Tamandua tetradactyla: one gene and its partners. The protein of the gene in region 4 interacts with the protein of the main gene of each other region in a pairwise test. Links are inferred from orthologs where the notes say so. Each region holds a gene or a part of one and is shown on either strand. Other genes may lie near its edges.

What was found.
Region 1: the proteins of TXLNA (region 4) and CEP57L1 interact in binary tests that used the Homo sapiens proteins (3 or more experiments, as listed by UniProt). The two-hybrid records come from large-scale screens. The link is inferred for Tamandua tetradactyla from reciprocal best matches to the Homo sapiens genes TXLNA and CEP57L1.
Region 2: the proteins of TXLNA (region 4) and KRT20 interact in binary tests that used the Homo sapiens proteins (3 or more experiments, as listed by UniProt). The two-hybrid records come from large-scale screens. The link is inferred for Tamandua tetradactyla from reciprocal best matches to the Homo sapiens genes TXLNA and KRT20.
Region 3: the proteins of TXLNA (region 4) and TCL1A interact in binary tests that used the Homo sapiens proteins (3 or more experiments, as listed by UniProt). The two-hybrid records come from large-scale screens. The link is inferred for Tamandua tetradactyla from reciprocal best matches to the Homo sapiens genes TXLNA and TCL1A.

The regions. Positions count from the first base shown.
Region 1 is NC_135331.1:167,541,506-167,549,353, forward strand, and holds the start of CEP57L1 (centrosomal protein CEP57L1), read left to right. Parts: upstream 1-4,844; 5' UTR 4,845-4,994; coding exon 4,995-4,997; intron 4,998-7,848. Other genes in the region: SESN1 (sestrin-1), read right to left, coding at 3,092-3,370. UniProt on the Homo sapiens protein: Centrosomal protein which may be required for microtubule attachment to centrosomes.
Region 2 is NC_135332.1:26,527,292-26,534,876, reverse strand, and holds the start of KRT20 (keratin, type I cytoskeletal 20), read right to left. Parts: upstream 3,018-7,585; 5' UTR 2,953-3,017; coding exon 2,560-2,952; intron 1,140-2,559; coding exon 1,057-1,139; intron 1-1,056. UniProt on the Homo sapiens protein: Plays a significant role in maintaining keratin filament organization in intestinal epithelia. When phosphorylated, plays a role in the secretion of mucin in the small intestine.
Region 3 is NC_135338.1:56,901,419-56,908,923, forward strand, and holds the start of TCL1A (T-cell leukemia/lymphoma protein 1A), read right to left. Parts: upstream 3,001-7,505; 5' UTR 2,946-3,000; coding exon 2,826-2,945; intron 189-2,825; coding exon 18-188; intron 1-17. UniProt on the Homo sapiens protein: Enhances the phosphorylation and activation of AKT1, AKT2 and AKT3. Promotes nuclear translocation of AKT1. Enhances cell proliferation, stabilizes mitochondrial membrane potential and promotes cell survival.
Region 4 is NC_135328.1:193,695,612-193,703,281, forward strand, and holds the start of TXLNA (alpha-taxilin), read right to left. Parts: upstream 3,018-7,670; 5' UTR 2,894-3,017; intron 2,681-2,893; exon of another isoform or gene 2,415-2,680; 5' UTR 2,292-2,414; coding exon 2,114-2,291; intron 1,509-2,113; coding exon 1,170-1,508; intron 1-1,169. UniProt on the Homo sapiens protein: May be involved in intracellular vesicle traffic and potentially in calcium-dependent exocytosis in neuroendocrine cells.

The DNA of each region.
Region 1 (7,848 bases), on a different chromosome or scaffold from region 4:
ATTAGAACAGTAATAGCAAGGACAGAACCTACTTAGGAGCTGTTTCTAATTGGATGTCTCATAGGTACCTTAACTTCAACATGTCTAAAACAGAACTCATCGCATTTTTATCTAAATTGATCTCCTGGCACTCTTCTGCTCAGGAAATGATTGCACTATTTATCAAGTAGCTTAAGCCAGAAACTTTAGAGCCATACTTGATTATGTTATTTTTCTCATGCCTCAACTAGTGGAATAACCTCCTGTTACTGCACACCTACTCTTGGCCCTTGAAATCCATTCTTCACATTGCTTCTCAAATGATGAATATCATCATCTTGGTCAAAATTCTTAAGTGGCTTCCTGTTGTTCCTAGGATAAAGTCCAAAACCCTAAACATGGCCTACAACACCCTCTGAGATCAGACTCCTGCTTAGAATACCTAATGCTTACTTAGATTTCTTAACTGCTAGCAGCTATGCTATGCCTTGCAAACATTACATTTTATTCTCATAGCAGTATTGTGAGGCAAGAACTATTAGCGTCACCATCATTTTGCAAATGAGGAAACTCAGTCAAGGGGATATTGTGCAATTTGTCCAAGGTGGTAAAGCCAATAAAGTATTGGAGGCAAGATTTGAATCTAGATCTGTCTGGCTCCAGAGCATGAGCTCTTAAACATTCACACTCTCCTGAAACTGTATGCTCCAATCATTTTGCATTACTTTCACTTCCTAGAACTCATATGCTCTCTCTTACCATGAGGCGTCATACGTAGCACTCCCTATATCTGGAATGTCCCCCTCACAAATCTCAAATTGTACAGGACTGGATATTTATTCACTCATCAAGTTTCTGCTTAAATGTCATCCCCTCAGAAAAACCTTTAATTTTTTAATAAAAAATTAAATTTTTTATTTGTTTAGATCTTCATGGCCTGTCTTTCTTCAATAGAATGTGAAAATTGTTCACTCATCCCCATTTCTTAGAATGGCATTCATTAGAGGGTCAATAAACAAGTGTTGAGTGAGTGAATGAATGATATAAGGGTGGTTATATCATTAATCTGGTAACTTCATCTATTCAGACTGATAAGATACAGAGAGAAGCCCAATACAAATGTCTATCCATTAGATATTTACTTAGTAGCTTCCAGGTCCCAGCCTATACTCTTGACAAATTACAATCTGGTGGGCGAGACAGACACATAAGCATGTGGTTATAGCACAGTATATGTAAAGTACCTGTTATATATGTGGTAGGAATAAGATGCAATAGGTGCCCAGACGAAAAAGACAGTATAAAGCTATGAGAAATCTTCACAGTAGAGGAGATTCTAGAATCCTTTAGAAGGATGGATGGGTCTTGAAATATATATTATATAGTCCATGTATTTCATCTAAGAAAGGGGAGATGAGCATACACTATTTACTGGGACACTTTATATCTCATTTAATTCTCAAAGCAGCTCTCTTTTTATGGATGTGGAAATTCAAGCTAAGAAAGATCAAATAAGTTGTTCAAGATTATGGAATACATTAAAAGAGCAGAATCTGAACCCAGATCTGTCTGACTCCAGTACCCATTTACTTACCAATATATCACAGTACTTTTACTGCGTACTCCCTTTGAGGCTGCTTACTTTTATTTTCAATATAACTTTCAATAAAATTGGTCATCTGGTTTCCCAGTCTAATATAAACAAGCAGCAAAATGAAAGGTTCAGGAAGAGACCAAAGTGAAGTATATGGATAGCAAAGGGAGGGACAGAAAAAACTATAAAAATTGGACACAAAAATTTAAAAAAAAAGCATATCAGGGAGTATCTGTTAGTGCAGTGTTATACAGTCCTATACACTCTACCCTCCACTGTACAACACTACTTGATGTGCATAATAATGATGACACCATTACGAACAAAAAGGTTGTTATGGTCACTACAGTGTAAGAGATAGAGAAATAACTTCTGATGCTTGAGCAAGTAAACTTCAGGTATCTTAAAAATTAATTTCTCCCTGGTAACTATGGTTAAATGAATTATAATGGTTGTTTTCAAAGTGTTGAGAAGAAATAGCCCAAGATCTTAAACAGTCTTTTCATGTTATGGAATTGTTTTCCTGATGCCTTAAACCAAGATCAAGAGAGTATAGAAAAACTGTCAATCTCAGCTTACAAATATTGCCAAGTAAATTATAAATTTTTAAAACTTCTCATACTATGACTTTGAGCAACACGTGTGGACTGAATAATGTGTAGACTGACAGTCATACATGAAGAGTGTCAATGAAGAATCTTAATATCTAAAAACAACCAACATCTAATAACCTTTCAATAAGTCAGGATAAATTGATTATGTATAAAACAGGGGGAAAATGATAATATTTTTAACCTGCTGCACTCATAAATAGGTATGTGAAATAGAAAAGAAACAACTCTAGGTAACACAGAAGATGGTTGAATTATTTACCATAAAAATGTTTTCACTATATACTCTACCTGGATCCAACTTTTTAACTTGAAGATGTCTGCTTTTTTTTTTATAACAAAGGATTTTATAATTTTAATAAATTTACATTTAGAGAACACACCCTAGATTTTTTGTTTTTGTTTCTTTTGCTTTGTCTTTAGAGAACAAGAGAAAATTTGTTTCACCAATTATCTTGAACAGGCAAAGAAGGAAACATTTAATATCCTTTATAATTTGATATGTTTTTGAATGTAAAACTTTTCACATAGAACATAGTTTGCAACAATGTAAAAAGCTAACAGTTCACAACATAAAAGTGACTATAAGGAAAAGCAAGTCTTGTTATTAACTGTAACTTTCACCTATTTTTTTTCCAGAAGGAATGGAGTTGCTGTCTAAAACTGTCTAAAAAAAGAATACTTCGTTTATTTATATTTGGAAACTATTTTTACTTTAGTTCATTTTGTTCAATTTAAACCCCCAAATCAGTGTTTTACAGATCATTCTAAACTTAAGACATGGAGTGAATTTATAATATGAATTCATAATATGACAATCTATTGGAAGCAATACAAAGTGAATAATAAAATAAATAAAAATTTCACTGTACATAGACATAGTTGTACTTTTAATATTCTTTCTTACCTGGACGCTCTTCAGAATAAACTCACTTTTCTCTCGTACATCTTTAAAAGGACACCTCATAGAAAGCATGAGCAGATGAGCAAGAAGCTTATTCAATCCATCCAAAGAAACAGCATTTGAAAGACCGTCTGATGGACGAGAAGGTGTGTCTTTTAACGAACGAAGATACTCGGTTTTCCTCAAAATGATTTGTCTAATGCTTTCCAGTGCTGTCTCTCTAGTACTTGAATCTCTACTGCACAGACCATCCCATCTCACTTCACTCTCTCCTTCGGCCATGACAACTTGGGAGTTTTTCCTTTCCAGTCTTCAATTATCTTTCACCATGTCCCCCAAGGCACTGTATTTTTAAAATGAGAACTATAAGAATAAAATCAGAGAAATCGAGTCGTCATGAAAAAACACGTTTGAGTAACATTTGGAATCAGAACTCTTACATTGATGCTTTCAATTCTCTCCTTTTGCAAGAAGGGGCAGTCTTCTGGTCAGAGACTGGAGAGAAAAAAAAGTTGGAAAGTTGTAACCCTACAGCGCTGGCTTTGCTGGACACGGCGCCTGGAGGAAGTGTTCTCCGTCTCGCCCGGTCAGCGGATATCCTCACGTTGTGGAGTTGTCAAATCCGTGCTCTGCCCCAAAAGGCCGGTAACAGGGAACGCTCTCCAACCATTCGGGTTTTTTAGCCTGAGCAGTCACCGCGTTCTCGGGAGCGTCCCCGCCCTCCGCAGCTCCTCCCTGCGCCGCAGAGGCCAGCTGGGTGCCGGCGGGACGGCTCGCCGAACCCTGGCCCACTGGCCGCCGCGGCCAAGAACCCGGGCGCTCCCTGGGGGCGGTAACCTCCAGCAGCCGCCGTCTGGGCGAAGGCGGCAGCACTGTTAGAGCACAGCACTCACGTCCAGCCGATTCGAATGCCCGGAAAAATGCCGCTGCTTCTCCGAGTCCTGTGTCCTCGGCCAGAGTCCGCCAAGCCAGACGGGTACTGGGCGGCCCTGGCAATCCCCGAGCGTCGGGATGGGCCGCTGAGCAGGCTGAACTGTAGGGCCGGAGGCGCAGAGTCCGCCCCTACGCCCAGCCCCATCGGTGGGGATCGGCCCAGAGGCGGGAGCAGGGAGGGGAGATGGGGTCCTCACCCCCAGCCCCTCCCCTTTCTCCGCCCGGCACAAACCAGGAGCCGCCCCTGCCCCCGCGCTCTCTTCCCCGCCCAGACGGACGAGACCCGCGCAGGCAAAGCCATTGGAAAAAGCCCCGCCCTCCGGCAGGCTACCTCCAGACCCTGAGTCTGCGCGAGGTGGGGCCAACTGCTGCCGGCTGCTACGCATGCGCAATGGCGAAGACGGCGCATGCACCTCCAGAGGCATTTAATATTTTGTGGGTGCGAGTGTGGGGGTGTCGTTTTCCGTTTCCAGGCATTTGGAGTTCTGGAGTGGAGAAGGGGAAAGAAGAGTAAGAAGGAGTAGAAGTTCGCTGAAATTGTTAAAAACAATACGCACGGCAAAGAAAGGAAAATCCTGAGGCTAAATTAAGACTAGCCTAAAAATGGTGACGGCCTCTCTGTTACGCCAAACCCCAGATTTAAGTAGCTAGGACGTTCTCGCATTGGCTTCTGGGAAATATAGTTTTGATGCTGCCGGAGCGGTCTGTTTGCGACAGAAACTACAAGTCCCAAAGGCCACCGCGACGTTGCCTGCTGCGGCCTGTGAACCAACCGTTAGCTGAGGCGCGAGTTGATTGAAAGCGCCAGCTTGGTGAGGTCCGTTGGCTACCTTTTTTTGACAGGACTTTTTCTTCCTTCTTTTCTTCTGGGATCTTGAAGACGAGATCATCTAGAGCACCCCCCCTCAAGTGCGGGGGCTTTTTCTGATGACCTGAGTGGGAAGGGCTAGTCCAGGTGCCCATATCCCGTGGTATGGTGAGGCTCGGATTTGGGGGTCGCGATGTTGGGGGTCGGAGGGAGTGGCCTTCTTTGGGAGTCAAGGGGGAAGCTTGGAAACGGGTGCTGCAGGTCCGCGCTGTCGCCGGTTTTCGCCCTTGCAGGTGCACACACGCGAGATGGATTAGGAATTCTAGTGCAATTGCACCTTGTTTGCATCTGTACCGGGATAGACTGGGCTCTGTTTGGTCAAAGCACATCCCAAGCAGGGCGTTGAAAGCGATTTGTCAAATAACGTTTTGCCTGGGACTAAAGGAAAAAGAATTCCTAGTGTTGTTATATATGACTTATGCAGACTTTAAGGATACCATATGAAAAACTCTAAAGACCTCTGAAATTAGTATCTTTAAAGTTCAATTATTTGTTTACGAATAATTGTTTGTTTTAAAAGTCATTCTTTTTGAGAAAAATCGAGGATTGGAGGGTAATAATGATAATCAGACTAGATTTTATCTCTTCACGTTGCAGAATGTGTAAGACTTTAGTCTTGCTGGGCATAGTGTACAGCTGTGAAAAAGACACGGCCCCTGTCTAGTTAGTAAAACCAATGGTTAGGATGCACGGGTGGTTCTTTGGTAGAATGCTTGTCTTCCATGCAGGAGACCCGGGTTCGGTTTCCGGGTCAGGCACCCCCCCCCCAAAAAAAAAAATAGTTAAGCGTACAATTTCAGTACTATTATGATAGTGCTCTTGTTGAGGATGCTAGTAAGGTCACCTAGCCCCATCTTGGAAGGCAAGAAAGTCTCCTTCCCAAGGTAATTGGGGATCAAAATAACAAAGAGCAAATGCTGAGGCCCAGGGTGAGAGAGATTTGATACTTACAGGAAACTGCAACAAAACCAAAGCTATATCATTGAACTGATTTATACCACCAATGAATTGGTCTAATTTGGCAAGTTTTGCTACATTTTAATGCTAATGGTTTGGATCTGAGTAAAGATGGTGTTTGGGTTTGCTAAAGCTGCTGGAATGCAGTATATCAAAAAGGGCTTGGCTTTTTCAGTGGGGATTTATTAAGTCACAAATTTGTAGTTCTAAGGACATGAAAGTGTGCGAATTAATGCATCAAGAGAAAGATACCTTCTTTGGGGAAAGGCTGTTGACGTCCGAGGCTGCTGGCATTAGGGTTTCCTCTGTTACATGGGAAGACATATGGTAAGGTCTGCTGGTCCTTCTCTCCAAAATGTGTCGGGGTTTCTGTGGGTCCTTGCTTATTTCTCCCAGGGTATTTCTGTCTCTTAGCTTCTCCAGGGATATTTTCTTTCTTAGCTTCTCCCTGGATGTTTTCTTTCTAAATTCTCTCTCCATAAGCTCACTTAAAAGACTTTTTAGTAAAGGATTAAGACCTACCTTGAATGGACTGGATTACATCTCAATTGAAATAGCCTAATCAAAACAAGCTTCACCCATAGTAGGTCTGCACCCACAAGAATAAATTAAAAGAATGTAGTCTTTTTTTTTTTTATAACAGATTCAAATCAGCACAGGTGGGAATAACTGCTCTTATGAATGTGATTTACAAAATAAAAAAGCCCATTTCTCTCTCTGTTGTGGGCTTATCCTTCTTTACCCAGCCCACAAAGTCTAAGTCCCCTTTTTACTCTGTAGCTGAATATGATCTCAGCCATACCCATGGCTTCACCACTACCTATTTGTGGATGACTCCCAAAGGTACAGCTCCATCGACTTTATCTTTCAGCCTTCATATATCCAATGATCTCTCTGCTGTTTCTTCTTGTATATCTCAAAAGCACCTCAAACTCAATATGCCTAAAACCAAATTCACAGTTACCTGGTTCTCTTCCAGTGTTCTGTCTCAGTATACTACTGTCTGTCTACTTGTGAAATTTTGAAAGCTAACCCTCATTCTTGATTCCTTTCTGTTCTTGTACCTCTATAGCCAAAATATTACCAAGTGTTATCAATCTTAAATCCCAAATACCTCTCCAACCCATCTGTTTCCCTTTATCTACATCAGTACAGTCCTATTCTAAACTGCTATAATCTCTTGTCAAGACCACTGCAATAGTCATTATTCACTCTGGGCCTCCTCCATTAGTTCTCCATACAGCAGCCAGAATGATCTTTTCAAAATGCATCCCATTGCTCTTAAAATAAAAACAAAACTCCTTAACATAACCTTTAAAGCCCAGCATCATCTGATTGCCTTTCCACTTCTCCAGCTTCACTTAGTATCATTCTCTAACTCTTTCCCTGTGCTTCAGCCGTAGAGAGAGACCTTTCTTCAGTCACTGGTTCTCACCACATTCCCTTTCACCCATTCGTTTATTCAACATAATTGTTGAGTGCCAACTATGTAACAGGATATAACACTGAGTACACATACAAGTCCCCCCATCCTCCTGTTATAGAGCTTGCATTCTGCTAAGGAGAGATAGACGATAAATAAATAAGTAAAATATTTAGTACATCAAATGAAGACAGATGCAGTGGAGAAAAATAAAACTGGGATGGGGAATGGTGCCAAGTTGTGGGGGCAGGGTTCACTTTTATATATGGTGGTCACAGATGACTTCATCAGGAAGGAGACATTTGTAGGGATCTCTGTAGGGGATGGAGGATTAAGCCATTAAGATTCCTTGGTGGGTGGGGTGGGGGGAGAATATTCAGGAACAAGGCCTGTGAGGGACCATGCCTGCACATTTAAAAAAGGAGGCTTACTCTGGCTGGGGTATAGTGAGTCAGGGGATAAAAGCAGCATGAGGTCAGAGTGGAAGAGGGTAGAGCTAGATCATGTAGGTGATTGAAAAGACTTTGGCTTTTTTTATTGATATGAAGAAGCAATTGGAGGGTTCTGAGCAGATGCAGG
Region 2 (7,585 bases), on a different chromosome or scaffold from region 4:
AATAACATGTTTAATTTATTTTTATTTCTTTGTAAACAGATTCAGCCAAGGTGAATTATCTTGAACAGTCATGCATTCTCCTCTAAAATCTTAAATACACTCATTTTTAAAAAACAGCAATAAAAAAATGTACACTTAAATGCTTAGCAGAACTTTCACTAATGAATTTTACTGCTTTAATCTTCAGATCTGTTTTTCCATTTCTTTCTTTTTAATCCCTTGTAGCATTAAAATGCTAAACCACGTTAGCATTCTAAACCACAAAGGACTTTTTAATGCCAATGGATTGTACAAATTCAATGTAAGGAAGTATGTGGCAGAAGTTTAGGAAGAAAAGCTCTGATTACATGTGGTGTGCTATGAGTACCAAAAACACTCATACAATTTTGAACATAATCATAGATTGGTCCTAAGTCTTTGGCTGGTCAGTCAAGACTGTAAAATGCAGGCAACTAGGAAGCATCAAGAGTCACCCCTGGAACATGTAGGCATTTGAGGGAATATGGATGCCCCACTTAGAGAATCGCTAAGGGTAGACTTGGTGGCTCTCTTTAAACAACAGAAGGGCTCTTATATTAAAATGGCTTTGTTATTACTATGTGCAGAATTAAGTTCACAGGGTGTAAACGTAGATTTCAGGTTACCAAAAGAAAGAAGCAAAGCTAACTGTTGGGTATAGTGTTAGTTCCTGGAGGTGTTCAGTTACTCTGGATGACTGAATTTTAGGACTGTGAGAGAGAGAAGTCCAGCAGGTGAGTCCTAGGCTAGACCAGAATGCATCTAATTTCCTTTAAGATTCTGCAATTTTTTGGGCAGGCCACGGTGGCTCAGCAGGCAGAGTTCTTGCCTGCCATGCCAGAGAGCGCGGGCTCGATTCCTGGTGCCTACCCATAGCAAAAAAAAAAAAAAAAAAAAGAAAAAAAAAAAAGAAAAAGATTCTGAGACTTTTTAATGGTTAGCTGCTGTACTAAGAATAATATTGAATGTCCAGTGTCATGATGGACAACTAAAAGCAGTTCCTCATTAGGCAGTTTTCCATGGTATTAGAGAACCTACTTCATTTTGAAGTCCTCAGCAGCCAGCTTAACATTATCGATTTGCAGGACACATCGAGCTTTTTTCAGTAGTGCATCCTTAATCTGGAAAACACATGATATAAAAAATATGACATTTTCAACTGGATAGGAGTTTAAAAGGATTGCATTTATCCTCAGTTAGAACCACTTTTATGTACAGGGATGATGTTCATTTCCAGAATTTCCACATGAAAATAGCAAGGAAGAATAATGATAAATGCATTTAAAATAAGACAGCTATAAAATGCAACTCCGGTTCCCAGGGTTTGGTCATTTTTCTTGTGATTATAGTAAAGGAGAATTTAATTCAACTTGAGTCAATGAATCTTTACTGGGGGCCTGCTTGGAATATTCCTGTTAGCTCTTCTCCCCTGGTGAGCTCCTACATTTCCTTCATGTCTCACCTTAGACCATCTCAGAGATGTCAGTTGTAAGACAGGTGTGGGAGAATGGTTGCCTTATTTTGAACGTTTTTAGTTGGAGCCACTCTTGGCAGGAGGGCAATTTGAACACCCCTGTCTCATATTTTTGGGGTTCTGAGACCCCAGCATAAGTTCCTGTGAAACCTGAATCAAATCACTTGTCCTGCTGGTGTCCTAATTGTTCCCAAGAAAAACAGACTTGCTGGTAAGTAAGGCCTTTGCTCTTAAAAAATATTTATCTTAAAATAGAAATGAAAATGAAGGGGACATTTTTCTTGATTAGATAAGAACTTTAGAGCAAAGCAAGTGCTCTGTGTCATACCTGAAATCTTTAATTAGGAGTAAAGTCTGCTTTTATTCCATGTAAATGATAAAATAGGGAACGCCACCTTTCTTGGATGACATGGGAACAGGTATTGATGTGATTGCAATAAATCTGAATTGGGAGCAATGTAACATTTTATTACTATAGAAACAGTTCCTGGGCTGATTGATGATCATGATAAGGTTATGAAACAGGGCATTTATAAATCCAGGCCTCATTATGATTTGTACTTCCTGCCCCTGCTTCCACCCTAAATCACTTTGTCTTTAAATCTATAATATGTGATTCTAATACTCATATATAACATTTATATAAGTGAAAGGAGAAAAATCTCTGGACTGACTGTGGGAGAGTTCATGGAGAGAAGGTGAAAAATTAAGAAAGATCATTATCATGTAAAGAAATTTTTGCTGTTCTCCAAAAAAAGTTTACCATCCATTTAGCCCTGATCTGGTAAACTGTAACAAAACACAGACTATAAAACTGAAGGATGGAATTGCATATTTTGTATGTAATTATATAAAGTGTTTAAACAGTGTGATTTAAAGCCATCCTATTATGCTCATGCAGTGAGGCATGCCAGCATAAAGTAGATGATAGAGAATAGCCTTTTTACCAAGTTAACATCTCAGCCTCATTGGCTTTAGAACATCCATTTTGACCCACTTAACACACATGTGTCTTCTAGACCCACCACGCAGCTAAAGAGTGGAGTAGAAAACACAGTAGTCCTCACCTGATCTCGCAGCTCTTGGATTTGTTTGTAATATGCACTATAGTCTCGACCGCTGCTAGGAGCTTTGGTGTCATACCACTGCTTGATCTTCCTTTCGAGTTTGGAGTTGGACTGCTCCAGGGAGTGCACTTTCCCCAAATAGATAGCCAGCCGATCATTTAGGTTCTGCATCATCATTTTCTCATTGCCAACAAACGGTAACCCGCGGTTGAGCTCATTCCAGTGGTTCCCCATGTGTCCGAAGGTGGAGATGCGAGTGCCACGGCCTCCAGCACCCCCATAGACGCTGGGAGCATTCACCCGGCGCTGCACACCCCAACTCCAGAACCCGTAATCGCTCTCACTGAAAGCAGAGACCTGTGAGGAGGAACCCCGTCTGCCCGAGAAATCCATTGCGGAATCTGGGAGAGAGAACCTGTAGCTTCAGAATGGCTGGAGCCCAGTCTGTCGCACAGTGGATGTTGAGTTAAACTTTTATAGTGTTCACGGAGAGAGAACTGCTGACATGTCACTTTGGCAGTGACATCACAGTCTACCTTGCCTTGCTTTTTTTTTTTGTGCAACAATATGTCTAATTCTATTCCAGAGGCACTTCTTGGAGGTTTTCTCAGGGGCGATTTCTTTTTTTTTTTTTTTAATAGAAGTAACAAAAGAATCAAGAAAATGTATTCTTCTAGCCGTTGCACCTGCTTTGGCATGTTTTTTTTTTCATCCTATTATACACATAAAGTTACAAACCTCATGAGTAATTAAGATGTTTAAAAGGACAAATGTGAGTACATAATTAGTCACTGGTGAAAAAGGACAATGTTTATTTATAATGATTGTTCCTTCAGAACTCTAGTTTGTTTTTTGCTTTTAAGTTTATCCCTGCTTAGACGTTTTATTTTATAAGAACTATTATAATAATCTGTTCAAACACAAAATCTTGAATATTTAAAATGAACACAAAACCTTAAATAATAGATTGGAACACTTATGGATATAGTTTGGGAAAGTGAATTAAATGAATTTAGGTGATTTTGAAGGTTTTGCTTCTTTTTCTAATTCTAATGTTCTATGGCTAGATAATGCATTTAAATTCATCAACAACTATCTGATGTTAGAGCCTGTTACCAAGAAATTTAGACTCCTCAGCAGAGTACTTTGCACTTGGCATGGTGCATAGAGAAGTCTCCCTCCCCTGTATAAGTTCAGCTTCAGCTTAACTATCCACCACTAGACAGGCTCCCCTCCATCCATCCTGAAGCCACAGCTGCTCTCTTGTCGAGTCCTCAATGGATTTCACTGGCAGGTGTGTTTATGGAGGTCTGATCTTCCTTGCAGGACCCATACACTAGCCTACTGGCAATTCCCTATATAGGAGGCTGTTCTGCAGCACCTTGGCACAGCACCTAGCTTTCCTGGTGGGAGGTTGGAGTCCACAGCACCTGCAACTCCACCTCCAGATACTTGGTGAGCTGAGGGCGCCCTCTCATCAGCGGGAATGTGATCGTAGGCACTCAATAAACACTGTTGAACTGAATGGGATTTATTCTTTTACTCTCCTCATTCGAATCTCCTAATGGAATTTACACCTCCCCTAGAGCATTTAAGTTTCTTCCTTACTAAGTTAAAGACATTGAAAAAGCCACGGAAAACTCATTATGATCTCACTACTTTAATTGAATTTGTTTTGAAGAATTGCACATTTCTTGCACATTTGTTTTGAAGAATTTGAAAAATGTGTCCTGTTTAGTGATTTTTCTCTTTTTTTTATTGGCGTTCTTCAGAAAATCAGTGATTTTTTTACTTGTTGGGTTTGAGTTTCTTTTTCAAACATCCTTTTTCCAAAATAAGGTGAAACTATATTTTCCTCCCTTATAAACAATATACTTGAAATAATACTTTGAATTAGATTTTGTCTCAGTTACTTTTACTTTTATTAAAGTTAAAATTGTGAGATAGTTAAACCTACCTCATGCATTTTATGGTGTATGTGTGGCCAGCTTTTACTCATTCATTCACTTATATTCTTTCACATATCATTCATTCATTCATAAATGAGCATTTATTGAGTGTCTGCTGCCAATGACTGAACATGTAACAAACAGATCTTATTTATGAGAAAGCTAAAAATTATGCTTTGTAAACAGATTTCACAGCTAAAATTGGTAGTAAATAACTAATAGTGAACCATGTTTTCCTTTAGATGTGTATGTGCAAAATTAATATTTTTTTGGTGTTTAATGGAGGAAGCAAAGATTGTTTGATTAAAGTCATTGGAAAATTGTGCTTTTTAAATTTCAGAAGTTTTGCAGTCAGCCTCAGCTAAGAGGCTCATCTACTATCACATGATTAAGTCACGAAGAAGAATTCTTTAAATCGGTAGTCTGTTATATCTAGAAAGAAAAATAAATGCAGTTATTAAATGTGATAAATTTTGTTCTCTTCTTTAACATTATTCTTCTTTATTGCAGAAACCAATTATGTTTGTTTCAAAGAGCTAAAAATCTCATTTTTTATTTTTTCAAGAAATAATATTAATTATGGGTTATTCCAACAATTTTTGTAGGTTTTGAGATTTCCCATTTAAACTTGAATATAATAGGGCTATTATGGGGTTCGGTCATCTAATCCACTTATTTGTCAGGGTGGAAAAATTCCTATCGGGAAGACTTTAGCATCTTTACATAAGGGTAGAAGAATTTGCTGGCTCCTCTATTATCTTGAGTTTTATGCTTTGGTAGATTAATTATTATATTTTATAACATGACCATAGGAAATCAGACTAGTCTTTCACTGCAATTCATTTTTCTGAATTATACCTGAGGCTCAGATATAGGTCTTAATGACTCTTGTTACACACAAAGTAATCTGAAATAAAGGTAAAGTTTCCTTGTACCTAATAGGAGGTGCATTTTGACCTCAGACTTTGCCAAGAGTGTTCATGATTAATATAAAGTAAGGCCAGTAATTTGGAGAGCTAGCATAAGAACTAAAATTTTCAGAGATTTTGGACTTTTTTTTTTTTCCGTCACGGACAAGCCATTGCAATTCAGATGTTATAAATCTAGAATCTGTTGTCTCTGGAAGAATTGTCTTCTCCATGCATCTCAGTTGGGATGCATTGCTCTAATTAGTTGAGAAGGATGGCATATGTGAATTGTGGATATTTGTAGGCATTGCAAAGTTAAGACAAAAAAAAAACATGGCCTCTGTGATTTAAAAACTGTTGTACCTACTGAAATAGTTAAAGGTGAAATATGATGTCTTGGATTTGCTTTAAAATGATGCGGGAATATAGATGAGAGAAGTTTGTCCATGAGTTATTTGTTGAATCTGGGAGATGGGTACACAGGTAATTTTTATACTAGTCTGATGACTACTGTATTTGAAATTTTCTATAATGAGACATATAAACAAGTGATGTGGTAAACTTATCTTATTGTATATTATGCAATCTGGCATATTCAAGTTTTGATTTGTACTTAATTGCTAATTCTGTCCTGCTGTGTTTCAATGAGTTGGTGAATTTGGCATATCATATTGGCTCAAATATTGTAGGTCTTCAGTATCGACTTGTCATGAGAATGATGAATGAATAAATGAATAGAAGTATTAAAGCCCAACTTCAAGGAGAGAAGAAGCATTTGCCAGTTTGACTCCACAATGAGATTCTGGATGGAGGGGACCCTCAATGCCCATTGATTGCTGTTTCTGCTAGTCATATTAAGAAAGTAAAACAGTTGTCAACCACGGCTTCCATATCATGGGGTATGGCAGACTGGATAGCGTGAATGTCCCTCACAATGGAAATAACTAAAATGAATTATCTATCTATTGATTTATTGATCTCTACCTATCTTTTTACACCCATTGAGGAGGGACAGGTTCAGCAACAGATTAGGCAAAGCTAAAGGGCAATTACTGAACTAAAAGATAGCTCCAAAGAAATTATCCAATATGGAGATTATCCAATATTGAGGTTAGAGAGACTAAGAGGAGTCAAGAGACATGAAAGCTAGCCTGGTAGTTTTAGTCAGACTTCCAGAAAGGGACAAAAGAAAATGGAAAAAAAAAAGCGAAAATATGCAAACAGATAAAAACTGAAAATTTTCCATAATTGCTTAAAGAAACTCATTTTCAGATGCAGGGAACCCAAATGAATAAAAATAAATCACCTCTAAATAAATCAGAATGCCAGATTAAGAAAGAGAAATCTGAAAAGCAGGTAGGGAGAAAATACAGATCATCAACAAAGAAATGGTTGAGCTGACACCTCAACACCAACAATGGACAATGGAAATGGAACAGTATCATCAACATGCTGAGATAAAATACCTGTTAATATAAAATTCAGTAACACTTTCAAGAATGAGGGAAAAAGAAAGACATTTTCAGGAAAAAATAGTTTGTCATCATCAGACTCTTACTAAAAGCAATCTGAAAGAATATATTTTAGACAGAAGGAATGTGATCCCAGATGGAAGATCTGAGATGCAGGAATGGATCAGTGATCAAAGAAAGTGCTCAATATGTGATTAAATTAGAATGAATACTGGCTATAAAATAATACATGTATTGAGAAGAAAAGCACAATACAAGTGAAAGGAGATGAGAGCTGAAAAGGAATAAATGGAGTTACATTTTTCTAAGACCCTTGATTATTCAGAAAGAGGACAAAGATAGGGATTAAATTTAGACATTGATGAATTAAGAATGCAAAATACATTTTCTAGTTTTAAGTTATGTCTTTCACATGATGGGTAATGGCTCCTATACTGATCTGCAATTAAACCAGCAGATCAACACATAGAGCTGAGAAATTGGTCTGTAGATGGAAATTTAATTTTCATATTACAAAAATGGAAATCGTGTTCCTATCTCATGCAAATTATACCCATAATATACAAAAATAAATTCCAGGTTCATTAAAGGTATAAATATGAAAGGTAAACATTATACAATGTTTAGAAGAAAATAAAGAATAATATTACTAGGAATCATGGTAAAGGAGTATTTCTTAAATAAGACACAAAAAGTG
Region 3 (7,505 bases), on a different chromosome or scaffold from region 4:
GAGTAACGCACACTTGCCTCGATATGATACACTATGCGCCAGAAACTGGAATCTGAACTCCGGTACCTTCTTGCAGGGTAGAGCTGCCACATCAGAGGCAACGGGGATGAAGGAAGCTGACTGGGACTCATAGCCTTTCCCAAGGGGACATCTTCCTGACGCATGAGTACTCGGAGGCAAGTATTCATCTGAAGAGAGAATGGAGGACCAGGGCGCACCTTTGCCAGGGCTCCTCCAGGCACAAATAAGCAGAGTCCTTCTTGATTATTTCAGCCTGGCAGGTGCCCAGGTCTGAGAGGCCAGCATTCACTGTTCCCAGAAGCTCAGTCCCTAATGCTGTGCTGGCTCTTCTCAGGAACCCTGGATGGCCAAGATGACAAGCACTCTCATGTGTCTAGCCAACTGGAGAGGGCCAGAAAAGGTAGACATTTTTTTCCTGACAAACTCCTATTGGCCAGGACATACTGTGGGACCCAGGTGTCCATTTCAGCTGTCATAGGATTTTCTTGCATTGCTCTTTATTTCTATCATATTTCCTCTTTTAACCAAGGTATCCCTTGACCACAAATCTGGTGACAGATCCCTTTGCATCACCATTCTTCTACCAATCATTTCCCTAATTTTTGCCTACTTGCTGGTCTTAGGCCCCACATTGGTTCTCTGCACAGCAGCCAGGATGAGCATCTAAAAACCATGCCAGTGTGCCACTCAAGACCTTATGCTTCTCATCACAGGTATATAAACCCAGATCTATACCATGGCCCATGGAAACCAAAAGAGCTGGGTCCCTTCTCTCTCTTGCTCTGTCCTTCACCCTCCCCTCCACTCCAGTCACTCTGACCCCTTGCCATTTCTGGGACATGCCACACTCATGTCTGCACTCAGCAACCCCTTGTACCTGTTGTTCTCTCTGCCTGGAACATTCTCCCCAAGACTATGCAGGGCCCAAATGTATGGATACCAAGACAAATATAACATAAAACAGAAAGATAGAACTGAGATCTAGTTTATCAGTTAGATCAATAACAGAACATGAGTTTAATTTACCAATTAAAAGAAAACAGTCAGAAAAATCTACTTCTGTGAGATACATAAAGACATGCCTAAAATAAAGAGATTCATCAAGGTTACAAACAAAATGATGGCAAAAATGTATCAGGCCAGTGCAAATTAAGACCCTCAGAGAAGTCTTGCCTGAAGATCCCCACATCACTTGTTGACCCCTCTTTCCTGTTTTAGTTCTCCTACAGAATTTACCAGCAGTTTAAGAATTATTTTGCTATCCATGTCAGCTTCACAAGTAGTGGAGATTTTATCACATTCACTGCATATCCCCAGAGCCTCAAATCATGATTAGCATGTATTCTAGGCTCTCCCATTTTTTCAATACTTTTTCCAAAGGAGAAATAGCTTTTTAAAATTTTTCTATGAAATAGAGTTCACTGTGAAAAAAATATTCAGCTCACATTGCAATCATTTTTGCTGTGTCAATGTCTACAATCTTCCATATCCATTAATTATTTTTAGTTTCTATTCACTTTTTTCTTGTTGATTTAAGTATATCTTTACATATTAAGAATACTGTTCCAGTCCCTTTGTCATGTGTGGCAAATTTGCTAGTGGGTTGTTTTCTGTGTAGAATGTATCATGGTGGTGCAGAAAACTTCTATCTGGTTCTTGGTTTTGGTGTCATGTTGAAGAAGATAATTTCTAACCAGGGATAAACAAAGATAGTAACCCAAAGATAGTATTTCTTCAAATACGCGACGTGAAAAAATCAGTATTTTACTTGATTTTTAAAAAGAGTGTGTGTGCATGTGTGTTTGTGTGTATACATGGATAGTTTTAAAATTTTAATGCCAATAAACATTCAAGGTTTAGACAGTGGTTAAGTGTCAGGAATCAACCCAATTACCACTACCAGTACTACCCGGACAAATCTACATTTTTATGCCTCAGTTTCCTCATTTACAATGGAGACACAGTCAATACTCAATAACCTTCTGCTGTTTACTATTATAGGACATAAATGTTCTAATACTTTATATTTTAATTTTGCTTTTACATTTTTTTCCTTTGGTTTATATATGGAAAGTCATTCAACTTTCAACCTTAAGTTTCTTTGGGGAAACCTGGGCTTTTGTGGAAGGTATTTGCAAAAGAGTTATATCTCTTTTTAAAAAAGAACTGAAGTTCCATCTTAAAGCATCATACATAAAACAAAGTCAACGTTTATTCAGTACCTGCTTTTATACTATTATATTACTTAAGTTTGTTTCTTTCAAAGCATAGAGGAGGCATGAAATACCCCCATAAATCTAGGGCATCAGTTTCCTAACTTGGTTGCATAGTCTATTGGGCACCCTTTTTGAAATGTAGATTTCTGAGGCCCAGCCCAGAACGTGTGATAACTGGCTAGGTGGGTAAATCACTTATTGTAGTGATCTATTATGCCCATTTTGGAGATTAGATACATAAAGCCCAGAAAAGTCCTGTCTTATTCAAGAGCATATTCACATGCTCCAGAGGCAAGAGGTTCCCATGCTTTGCTTCATTCCTTTGTGAGGTTCTCACCCTCCTTCCTTGCCTGGAGAACTCCTACTCATTTTTCTGGGGCCAGCTCAAAGTGGTTTCATCTGTGAGGCCAGGCCACCCAGGGAGAACGAGGCCCCTTTAGAGCCTCCTTGCTGTGACCCTCACCCAGGGGCCAGAGGGGCTCCTTGAGTGCTCTGTGCAGCCTGGGGTATCTCCAGTTTCCCCAGAACCGGGCCAGGGAGGCGGATGCTCCTGCTGACCCGCCCATCCGGGCCCCAAAGCAGCTGTACCTTGAGGCATACAGGTATCCAGGTGCGCTGATTCTCGTCCAAGTAGACGTTTCTTTCCCAGATCCACAGGCGGTCGGGGTGCATGGCTGTGGATTCCCTGAACAAGGGGCGATCGTCCATGGCGCCTCTCGAGTTCACTAGCAGATTAGCCAGACACAGGGCCCCCACGCCTTTATAGCGAGTGGGCAAGCCGGCGCCCCCACGCGGTGGGGCCGGAGGGGGGCGGGCGCTAGGCGGAGAATGGGGTATGGAGCATAGCGAAAGGGGCGGGAAGTGGGAGGTGCAAGGCAGAGGGGGCGGGGCGAGAGGCAGGAGCAAGGCCAGATGGGGTGGGGCGAGAGGCGGGGCCCAAAGCAATATGGGGCGGGGAGAGAGGCGGGGCCAAGCAGCGCCGAGCCTGCCGGGGGAGGATCCGTAGCAGGCCCTGAGGCCAGAGCTTGACCTGTAAACCCGGACCCAGGCCGCGTCAGTCCAGGAGCCCAGACCCAGGCCCCAGCAGGTCCGGGGCCTTTTCAGGACCTCCAGCTGGTCTTTCTCGCCCCTTCTTTGCCGTCCATTGCCCGGTAGGTACTCGGGTCTGTGGCCTTGGCTACAGCGAGAGCCATCCTGGCCCTCTTTTCAGCGCGCGGACACCACTGTCAGCCAGTGCGTGTGTCTGTCCAGGCCACGCCCCAGAGCTAGCAGCTCCAGGCCTCTGTGCGGAACTCCCAGGCTGCCTTTGAGGCCAGGCGGCCTGGAGCCGGTGTCCGCTTCTTCATCTTCTGGGATCAGAGGCCACTCAAGCGGGGGCCTGCTTCAGGCCTAGGCCTTCCCAGGTTCGTGGGCTTACGTTCAGCCTATGGTTTTGGGTGTCAGAATCAATTTCCTTGGCAAAACTTCAACTCTTGAGTCCCCTCCCTTCCCCCGAACACCCACTTTCTGCGGGTTTGGGGATGCTGTGGCCATCTAATAGCCATTGTGAAACCTGCTGGTGAAGAAACATGGTTTTCCCTTTATATGCTTTGAATTCATTACAGAAAGCATAATTCAAAATGAACACTTAAAAAGAAACCATCGCTTCTCGGCCTTTTGGCTAAGATCAAGTGTAAAAGGAAACCAAAACCCTCTCTTCACTCTAAGATCAAATGGATTTTTCTGTAAATTAAAGCAAATAAGGAAAATATTTTCACTTCATTTTGTAGTAGCATGCTCATTAAGGGAATTAAGGAATTAAAGTACAATGAGACAAATGTAAGCCCAGTTCCTGTCTCATTGTTCAAACATCACCACTGGCAGCAGTTTGGTGCCTTAACTTCTAGCTCTTTCCTCTCTCTCTGATTAGGTACTAAGAAAATAATCTGTGATCTTTTGGAATGTCATGAGAGTGAAAATGAGTTTAACTTTTGATCCTCTGGCAGCAAAAGTGCCTGTATGCTGCTCTGCTTATCCAGACAGTCTAATTTCCAAGAAGGTGCTGAAGTAGTCTAAGGTAACAGAGATGTAATTGAATTTACCAGGAGCCCAAAACAGAAACGAAAATCAAAGAAAAACTGGGGGTGGAAGGGAGGAGATGTGAGCCTAGTAAACCTTTTCCAGTCAATATTCAGTATTCAGTCTCGGGGTTTTCAGGCTGATTTCCCAATGCATGATTCTTGGCTCCACACTCAAAGAGAGCCACATGTAACAAGATGAAACAGTGGAATAGGTTCTGTTGCGGTGGTGTCATGGGCTGGCCAGAGTTTTGAGGTCAGAGATGATAGCCAGTCCATCTTAAACAGTGTTGCTGGAATGGCCTCTTGTGGCAAGAAAAGGAGGCTCCTAGGAGCGGGTGTGGCTGCTGCCCTAACCCCATCAATTGCCCTGTGACTTAGAATGCCACTGGGTCTGCAGATCTAATTAACCCTCACTCTGCTTTTTTAAGAGGACAGGAAGGAACAAGTAAAAGAGCAAGAATCAGACCCATTTGGCTGGGAGAGAAACTGCTCTGGATGTTTCAGGAATAGGATTCCTTTTTTCTCCTTTACAAAGACAATATATTTCTTCAGTTTCAGAAGAGGGCTTCTTAATATTGAACGAGAGTATACGTCATTCCTGTATGGTACTTAGAAAATCATATGAGAAGGGATTCCAAAGAGTGAAAAGAGAAATAAGCTTAACTGAGGAATTTAATGAATGGCTTCTTTGGGGGCCTTCAGTTTTTTTAGGAAATTCCATGAGAGGGAAAACAATAGTTATTGTGTGGTCCCAGGGCCAGGGACCCTGGTGCAAGTCTGCACCATGTTATCTGCTCCCTCTTAGAGCTCTATAATGCCAGTCAGAGAAGGTTTCAAGTTGCATGCTCCTTTGTGACTCTATTTTTATTGTTTTTATGTAATATAATTTATATTTTATAGTTATATTTATTTATTGTCTTACTCTATTAGTCTGCGAGTTCCCTGTGGATAATCAAGTGGGTATTTCTGTAGAAAGTAACATAAAACAATTATTTTGTTTCATTTTTTGGCAGAGTTGCTAGCTGGTGCTTTCATGTCCTGACTTGAAATCCAGATTTGACTTTGCTGCTATCACCTGTGAACCTAGCAACTCCTTTGCTGTCTGGACTTTGGGGCCACACTTTTGTAATGAATGGGCAAACTAGATGTGCTCTAAGTCCACTTCTAACTAACATTCTCTGATTCTACCATGACGTTGCCTAATGGGAGGAAGAAATATAGAATGAATTCAGGAAAACCCATAGTTTTGAGCAGGGTGATAATGGACAGGAAGGACCCCAGTGGAATTCATCCTTCTTATTTGGGTTCATGGCCATCAGTATGATGTTTAGCCTTTTTACTCAAAAGTGGCCCCTGAACTAGCAACATCGGCATCGCCTAGAGTTCACAAAAACAGCAGACTTACCTGAGTCAGAATCTGCATTTTAACAAGACCCCCAGGTGATTTGTGGGAACACTATGTGCCAGTCTATATGGAGGCACAGGTGGGAGAGCTGGTGGCTGTTTGCCTTATCCTGCCAATGCCCTCTTATTTCTCTATGACACAGGAATTGGATGTATGTTTCTGTATCATTTAGTGCTAGGCTACCTTTTGTCTTGTTAAATTCACTTTTAATATATATGATGTTTTCCCCTTAATAGAAAATCCTGGGAATTTAAGTCATCATAACCAACTTCAATGATTGTTGCAAGCTACAAAGGGTCTACTTAGAGGCTAATCAGGTGTCCAGGCCTCTGGGGCCCTCCACTGAATGGTTTTAAACACTAAGCCAGTGGGTGGTTGTGTATTAGAATCACCTGGAAAGCTTGACAATCTACCTGTGCCTGGGCCCCACCCCAGGCCAAGTAAATCACATTCTCTTGTGGGTGGGTCTTAAGCATTAGAATTTTTAAAAGAGGACTTCTCAAGTGTTTCTAATGCACAGCCAGGCTTGAGAACTTGCATTAGTGTTTTTGAGGTGCAAACAGGGTTTATAAAACCAAATAACCATAAAATGGTAATGCCAAAAGCCATTTTTTTACTGATAGGTCTCATTGTAAAGCTTACCCTGACCCCATGTTTTTACTTCTTTGCCTTTGCCCTATTTTAAATTTGCTGCTTCTAATCTTTAGTGAGTGGGGAACTGTAATACCCAGTTTATTCGTATTGTGAGGGGCTGACATCTCTCCAACGCATGAAACCCAGGAGCCCTGATATGTAGGTGTTAAGGCACCCATGCTGGCTGCTGAAGTTTTCTCAGGATTTCTGGCTCTGGGGCATATTTTGGATAGCTGAGGCTACTGATCAAGTGAGCTCAGGTTTAAAAAAGTTGTTAGAGCCTTAACCCATATGGGCTGAAATTGTATCTCTACATTAATGGAGAATCTGGGATGAGGATTTTCCAAGTAGAACTCAGGAGACGGATTCTAACTTTGTCCACTGCGTGGTTCCCGTTTTTCTTTTTAAACTTAACAGAGCTTTCTTTAAGCTTTAAGTGCTTGTCAAACCTTAAGGGTCCTGTGGCGATCTTGTTAAAATGCAGATTCTTAGTCATAGTTCTGGGGTGGACTTCAAGATTGTGCATTTTAACAAACTGCAAGACTGGTCAGTTGACCACCCCCAAGCAGCTAGGCGCTGTACAGTGGTCCACCCCACCCCAATATACACACAAAAACACAATTGCAGAAGCAGAATACAACCCTAACCCCTACTCAAAATCCCCAAGGGTTGCCCCTGCCAAACTGATGGGTGAGCAGCATGGATTGAAATTGCAGCAGACTCTGAGTAGGAATGCAGTCTCCCCAGTTGCCCATAGGCAGGTTTATCTTAATTTGTGTTAGAAACAGATCTCAATCCTGGGATTATTCCACATTTTGGGTTTACCCATAGTATAACTGGATATCACCCTGGTTTTTACTCCACCCTCCATTTTAATTTGATTCTATTCATTTGCCCTCAAAAAAAGAGTTCATCTGCCTCTTCATGAAAACTGGCTAGAGTCTTGACTCATAATTTCAACTTTTCTGTTATATATAAACTGAGATAAATGTATTGTATTGCTTTTAGCCTTCACACTGAGAATGTTCTTTTGTACAATATCCCTTGATCCAGCCTTTTAACTTTAAGTATATTTTACATGGCATTCTAGTCAATTAACATGGTGTAAGACTTTTTTTTTTTTTAATGATGGTAGGTAGGAATCTAGCTGTATCTTTTTCTAATATTTAA
Region 4 (7,670 bases):
AAGCCAAATGATGAATTTTAAAAAATATATACCTCGGGGTGCGAGGTATATACTTTCATTGGTAGAATTCATTGGTAGAATTCTCGCCTGCCTTGCGGGAGACCAGAGTTCGATTCCTGGCCCATACAACTTCCCAAACAAAGAAACCAACAAAACAAACGATTCAACAAATGGTGCTGAAGTAACGGGATATTCACATGGAAAAAGAATGAAATGTGACCCCACTATACAGCATACAAAAAAAAAAGTATATATCTTCTATATACGTGATCGTAAGATTTTTTTTTTTAGTATTTCCTCTTTAAATTAGGGCCACAGGCAGAGGGTAGGAAAGTGGGGAAAAGGATATGCATATAATGTCACCCAACCTCAATTCTTAATACCCTTATTCTGAAGGCTGTCAAGTGACTGTCGGTCACCATCTTTTCTGCACTGCCTGTGCCTGAGTCAATCTCCTTTCTACCCTGCAGGGCCACTTACACCCAGGGACCTCTAGTGTCAGCCTTGGGAGGCTCCAAGAGATGGGTACAGACACTGCAAATCTCTAGAACACAGGGCAAATGCAGTCCATGGGTGGGTTTTGTTTGGCTCATAGCATTTTGTCAACAGTTAAAAATCTAGAGATTTTACTTTAGATTCTTGGTTTTTTCTTAAAAAACAAAGAAACAAAATTCCAGATGCACGAGCCTGTAGTTTTGCATGCTATCAATTGGCTGAGATAAAGTGAATGAAATAGGCAACTCTCTTGGTCCTCATGGGGCTCCCTGGCTAGCCTGTGCAGACAATTGAGTTTTTGACCCCAGTCTAGTCCAATCCTTTCACAAAGCAAAGCTGAAATTAAGGCCAGAAGGAGGGAAGTATTTGCTCAAGGTGACACAGCAGATGAGGGATAGTTCTGGCTGGCAGACGGTCACCCAGGCCTCTGGCTCTCTGTTTCTCAAAGAGAGATCAGAATGGATGTCAGCCCTCACATGCTCCCAAGGCCAGGCGCCCTTGTGCAGTGAAACAACCTGTAGACCTCTATGCCACCCACTGAACTAAGTTAGGATGGTTCACTGCTCTGTGGAGTATTGTGTTCCTCTAACTTCTGGCAGAGCAGTTAGCACAAGTAATGTTGGGTCCCAATGCCTTCCCCTCAGCAGCCTCACATGTAGCTGCCCTCTGCTCACCGAGACCCTTGGCTTTCTTCTTTTCCTGTGGCCTTCGTTGGTCTCGGTCTCCGCCCTCGTCACTTGCTCGGATCTCCTCTGTGCATGGCTCCCCTTTAGAGGTCTCCTTCTCACCATTGATAACTTGGGTCCCTGGTTCAGGTTCCCCATTCCTTGCTGCATAGTTCCGAGACTTCTCTGCATCTTCAGGTTCAGTGGGCTCACCCTGGGCCCCATCCTCACCTGGGCCCCCCTGATTTATGTCCACACAGTATGTACTCAAGATGTCTTCCAACTGGCGGCTCAGCTCTTCAGAGACATCACGTAGGGGCCCAGACTGAGCAGTTTTGGCTTGAGCCCCTACAGCAGCAGATGAGGGACAGAATGAGAAATAAGATGGTTATACCACTGGTTGGGATTTTTCAGGCCCTGCTAAACTCCCTGGCTGGGGTTAAACACTGCCTAACCTCTTTAAGCCTCATTTTATTTACCTATAAAATAGTATAACTACCCCTTACCACCACCCAAGAAGGTGTGTTGTAAGCATAAGAGGTCAAGTACGTAAAGCACATTGCACCAGTTAGACATATAGCAGGAGCTCACTTTCTAGTCCATCACTTTCTCCTTCCCCCTAAAGCCATAGTTTGCTATTTAAAAAGTTCCAGAAATGCCTCAAATATAGACCCACTGGTGACTGATTTGTTACCTAACAGGACCTGGATTTGCAGGTTGGGTCTCTCATTTGACTGTCACTTGGCTAATCCTGTTAGAGCCTTTTCTCAAGAGAGTTCTGTTCCTGTGGCTGGAGGGGGAGGTTCTACCAACTCCCCAAGAAACGGTGGGGGTCACACAGACTCAGCACTGTCCTCTCTCAATCTACATCTCTGGCCTCTCACTCCGGAAGCTAAACCTGCGTACCACAGATTCCTCCCCATGACCACCGGAAAAGCAGAGCTGACACACACCCTCAGTCTTCCCTGGGGCCTGGCAGCAGGAACCTTCAGCTTCTGTCGCCGGAGTCGACTGGCTGGACCGCCCCAGGGCTCCCTCCGGTCCTGCTTCCGGTTGCCCTGGGCCGCTTTTTGGATTGAAAGTGTTGCTTGATTGCTTGGCAGCCCCATTCTTTTTGTCTTGGTTCTTCATTGTGGTTTGCGATGCTAGGTTAGCAGCAGATCCTTTAGAAACAAACACAGCTGCTATTTTCCAGACTTGGAAATTCTTCGCAGCCTCTCTGGATCAGAAATTCCAAGACCGGGCGAGAAAGCTCTTTAAAACAAACAAAAACAGATTGGCGGGCCTTCACCGGAGGGAGCCAACGGTTCTGCTGGTCATTGGGCTGACGGGGCAGTTTGGCCTGCCAAGGCAGGTTTCCGAGCTCCACTCCTGGAGCAGTCGAGGAAAGAGGCCTCTTTTTCCCCGAAGCCACTTCCCGGCACAACACGGCCCCCTCACCACAGGCAAAGAGCGGGATTGGCTCAAGGCCGGAGACTGACGTGGCGGGAGGCTCGATTCCCGATCTCTCCCCGCCCCCAAGCACCACGTGGGCCCCCATGCGCGCGCAGACACCCACGCCCCGCGCGCCCGCCAACGGTGTGCGCGACACCCCCGCGCATGCGCATAGGCATTAACCCATTCTCCGGCCCGAGCCCACGAGTGGAGTCAGCGTGATTCCTCCCACTGGCCGGAAGCATCAAGGCCCATAGGCCCTCCGATCGTCTCATTCCACTAGTCGCCACAGTACGCACCTCACCGCCCGACGGCTTCACCCGCTGTAGCTTCGCACCGGAAACCCTGGGCAACCGCTGCCGGCAGTGCCGCCGCCGCCGCCAATCAATAGCTCGCGCTCTCGCGGGGCTTGCTGGGAAAGACGAAGCGAAGCCGCCTTTTGAGGCCGCTTACGTTGGGAAGGCGGAGGAGGGAGAGGACTACGAGTCCCTACATGCACCGGGGTAGCTGACCGCAATTCCCAAGATGCAGTACATAGGGCTTTAGTCTTCTCAGTCAGATACTCAGGAGTTCTGAAAGCAGCTAGTCATTCTGCACAATACCCACGTCAACCTCTTTTCATACTACGTAGAAGCTATGACTCAGTCCCCAGGCCTGGCGCCTGGTTATTCTTTTTTGCATGCTTCCACCATCCCTTCACTCTTTACTGTGAACTTCTGTGGCTATGTACGAACTCCGAGGAGTCAGGGCAAGGGATAGAATCTTGAGCTGGGAACCAAACCAGTATTCCAGTCCTGAGTACACTAATTTGCTGTGTAGTGACTGGGTTCCTATTTGCTTATTCAAGGGAGGGGCTTTTAATAATAACAGTAACAGTTTGTTGACCGTTTGCTGTGTGCATTTCTGGTATCTACTAGTTCAATATTCAACTACTCATGGAGGTAAGTACTGTTGTTATTCCCATTTTACAGGTGAGGACAGTGGGGTAAAAGATAACTTGTCCAAGGTCATACTACAAATGGGTAGTTAGACCAGGGAGTCAAAACTAGAAAGTCTGTCACTGTCTTTCACCTAGAATAACCAAAGAAATAATCATGGCATATTTACGCTGAAGATGTCAAGGTAACTTGTGAAACTAAGTTTTTTTTACCCTCTTTCCTATCACCAACTTGGCCATTAGTCCCTCTTTGGAAGGGTCTGAGGGGTTCCTGCAGGAGAGGTTGGCTTCAGGCAAAGATTCCTAAGTCTCTTCTCTGGCCTACCTATTACAGAGTAAGTCCCAGTAGCACCAGAGTTAAAAAAGAAAGCCAAGTTTTTTTTTCCTTCCAAATGTGAGATTGCAATTCTTTATTGCCACCGCCTATAGATAATGGAATAATGGCAGACAATCCTTGTGCCTGGAATTTAAAGCCTACATGGTTTGGCTGCTGCCTCTTTCCAACCAACTCTCCTCTTTCTCCCTGCCTTTTGGCTCCAACTGTGCTTTTAGTATTTCTGCAATTTCCCAGGTTTTTGCAGGTCATATTCCCTCTTTCAAAATGACCCTCTGGCAAAAACAAAATTTTCTGTGGCTATGCTTACAGGTCACTTCAGTATGTTCTCAATCCTCTGCAGTCTGTCCTCACTCTAGTCTGGACAGAGTTCAATTACAGAATTATTCGAAACGGTTGAAATTACTATTTACTTACAAATCAAAGAACTGTTGACTAAATTTTCTAGCTCCAGAGCCTAGCACCAGTCTAACAGCACAGGCTTGGTTAAGATTTCAGGGCAGTGCTGGGCCTAATCTTCCCCAGCCCGTAGGCGGCACCAGTGTCTGATGGAACACTGAGTGGGAAGCAATGTGGTATAATGGTATGATGATAGAACTGAGGCTCAGAAAGACAGTGTCCTAAAGAGCCAGGATTTGAAATCCAGATTTCTTTACCCTACGTACTTGATTATTTCCATAACAGCATGTTGGAAATGTCTTGTGGAGGTATATGATAATAGGAATAGAGGAGGTAGGTGGGCAATAAGAAAAATTGATAGAAATATGAGTTAAAATGTTACTTTCTCCTTTGCTGGAAAAGAAAAATGGTAGTGATATTTGCACTTGACAGAGTGAGGAATACAATTGGGAATAGTGAGGATTATGGTAAAATAGAGCAGTTTTTGCAGTTTGTTGCCAAGCAGAAAACTTAGGCCGAACAGTGCCAGATATTCAATATTTTTCAAGACAAGATATTATCTTGACTTTTTTTTAACTTTGGCAACTAATTAAAACTTAAACACACTCTATTGGCCAATCAAAACTCTTCTTTTGGGCAAAATCAACTTTTGGCTGCTTCTCTGCTTTAGAAATTAATCTAAACTGAAGCAAGGCATTTATAAAACTATATGATCTTGGGCGTGCAAGGGGTAGTTCAGTGGTAGAATTCTTGCCTGCCATGTGGGAGACCTGGGTTCGATTCTTGGCCCATGCACTTCCCAAAACTAAACAAACAAAAAAATTCAACAAATGGTGCACCAATAATGGTGCTACAATCTGGAAAAAGAATGAAATGTGACTCTGCCATACAAAAAAAAAAAAACATGAAACGAAAAACAAAACTATATGATCTCAAAGTATGTGGTATTGTTTCTTCATGGGCAAAATGAGGATAATGTTCACTTAAGCCTATAAGCCTTTTAAAGAGTAGTGGACTGAAATGATGTCAACATCCTTTATAGAAACTCTAAAAAATGCAAACCAGCCTATAGTGGCACACTGCAGATCAGTAATTGCTGAGGGTAGGACAGGAAGGAGGGACTCCAAAGGGGCATATGGAAACTTTTTAATTTTTTTTTTTTTTTAACATGGGCAGGCACCGGGAATCGAACCCGGGTCCTCGGGCTTGGCAGGCAAGCATTCTTACCTGCTGAGCCACCATGGCCCGCCCAATATGGAAACTTTTATGTTCACTATCTTGATTATAGTGGTTTCATGGTAGTATATGTCCGAACTTATCACAGGGTACACTTTATGTAGTTTATTGTACGTTATAACTTCATTATTTGAAAAAAAAAAAAGAAGTCTAGCAGGAGCAGGCCGGTGCAATTCTTCTTCCTACATTAGGCTACAGGCATGAACACCCTCCCCTCCTTCACTTCCAAAAAAATTCAGTTTAATTTCACTCCAAATCAAAAGAAACAATTTAGAACTTTGCAACAGGTTTTTATTTTTGCTTTATATCTATTACAGTGTTTGAAACCTAAAGAAATACATTTTCTCTTCAAATTTGGATGTGTATATAAATATCATTTTTCTGGACTAAACACTCAATGCCTATGCTCTGAAATCATCAAGCTGTATCTCTGTCTCCCTAGGGGCCCTGAGAATATGGAAAATAGCCAGACGGTTTATGTTCTTGGAAAAATAAAAGGAAATGAATTCTGAAACACCAGTGAGGTGAAGGGATGTATTCACCTTCCTAGGGTCTGTAGCTGGGAAGCCTATCTGTTCTTAGGGAACATCAGGTACGCCTTGGGTGGCTAGGGCCCCATAACCCTTTCCCTTCTCTAGTGGTTCAATCAAAGGCAGTTCGCACAAAAGCTGGATAAAGAAACCAAATTTCAACTTCAGGGTCCAAGGTTTCTTGTAGAGGACATTCTCTGAGTCAAAGGTTTCTAGCCAGTCTCAGAACCTTTGAGAAATGCCTTTCTTCACTGTCCCAGGGGATGGCAGTTTTCTCTTCCCAAACCTAGGGGCTGAAAACTAGACATACATAAGGGAACACGGGATTCAGCAGAGAGGTTCAGGCAAGTGCTAATGGAGATGAGAAGCTGGGCTGGCCTAGCCAGTGAAGCCCAAGCTCACTGAAGACCTTTACACCACACAGCAGCTCTCATAGGGTGTTCTGGGCCTCTTCTAACTCTCATAGCCAATTTTGGTTCTGCATACAGCCCAGGCCTGGGTAGGTGTAGCAGGCAAGAGTTAATACTGACCTATAGGGGCCAGATGGGAAGTATGAGTAGAGCAGGCAGGCAAGGAATAAGAAACATAGGTTAAAAAGTTATTTTCTGCTTTGCTATAAATGAAAAATGTTAACAGTATTTGCAAAATGCCTTCTCAGAGGAAAAATAATAGCTGAATTACAAGATTTGGTTAGTCTTGACCTCAAATTCTTCCCTTGCCATGGTCTTAATTCAGGGCTGGAGCTAGGGGATCAGAAATGGATGGCTGAATCATTATGAAGGCATTGGCCAAATAGCAGCCTAGTGCCTACCAGATAAATCCCTATAGGGCCAAATTCTCAGCTTGTTGGCTCAACAAAAGAATCAAACTATGACAAAAAAAACTACTGGACAAGGTTAGTGTAATCCTAACATGGCTGTGGAAGAAATGTCCTCTGAACAATCTCAGTTCCACACTCATTCACTTCTAGGGTAGTCCTACCTGGAAGATGTTGCTGGCTATGAACATTTGCTGTGGCTCCGAGTCCTGGCCCTAGATCCTTCCCCAGCCTGTCAGTGAGGCAGACAGGCACATATAACATACCTGAAGCCCCCATGGGAGTGTACAGGGACCTGAAGAATTTGGCTTCCTGCCTTCTACTGAGAATTTAGAATGAGACTATAGGATAAATCACTAAGGAAAACCCAAGATGATGGATACCAAGTTGAATGAGTTTAGAGAAGAGATGAGACCTGGGCAAATGAGCTGACACCTTCAAAGAGGGGCATGTGGGACAAAGAAGGAAGTATTGCTAAGTTTTCATCTCCTTTCCTTCCAGTTTCCTAGAATATGGGAAACTCCAAAGAGAAGACGGGGAAATCCAATTCACTCTCCTAGATGGTTTTCATTTTAAACTGGTTCAGCCTGAATGAAACAGAACATGTGTGCCTGAAAGCCTTCTTTCCCTCTCCCTTGACTAAGTACAGTAGCAGCTAGAATCTGTGCAATTCATCTCCAGAAAATAGGCCTTCTGGAAGGTGACCTCCAGGGCAAACAGAGTGGAAGGAACAGATCTAACGTAGATCCAGGTAAGAGAGAACACCAAGGATCCTTGAAAGTGGGGTCATCAATACCTGCTCCTTGGAAGAGTCATTTATGCC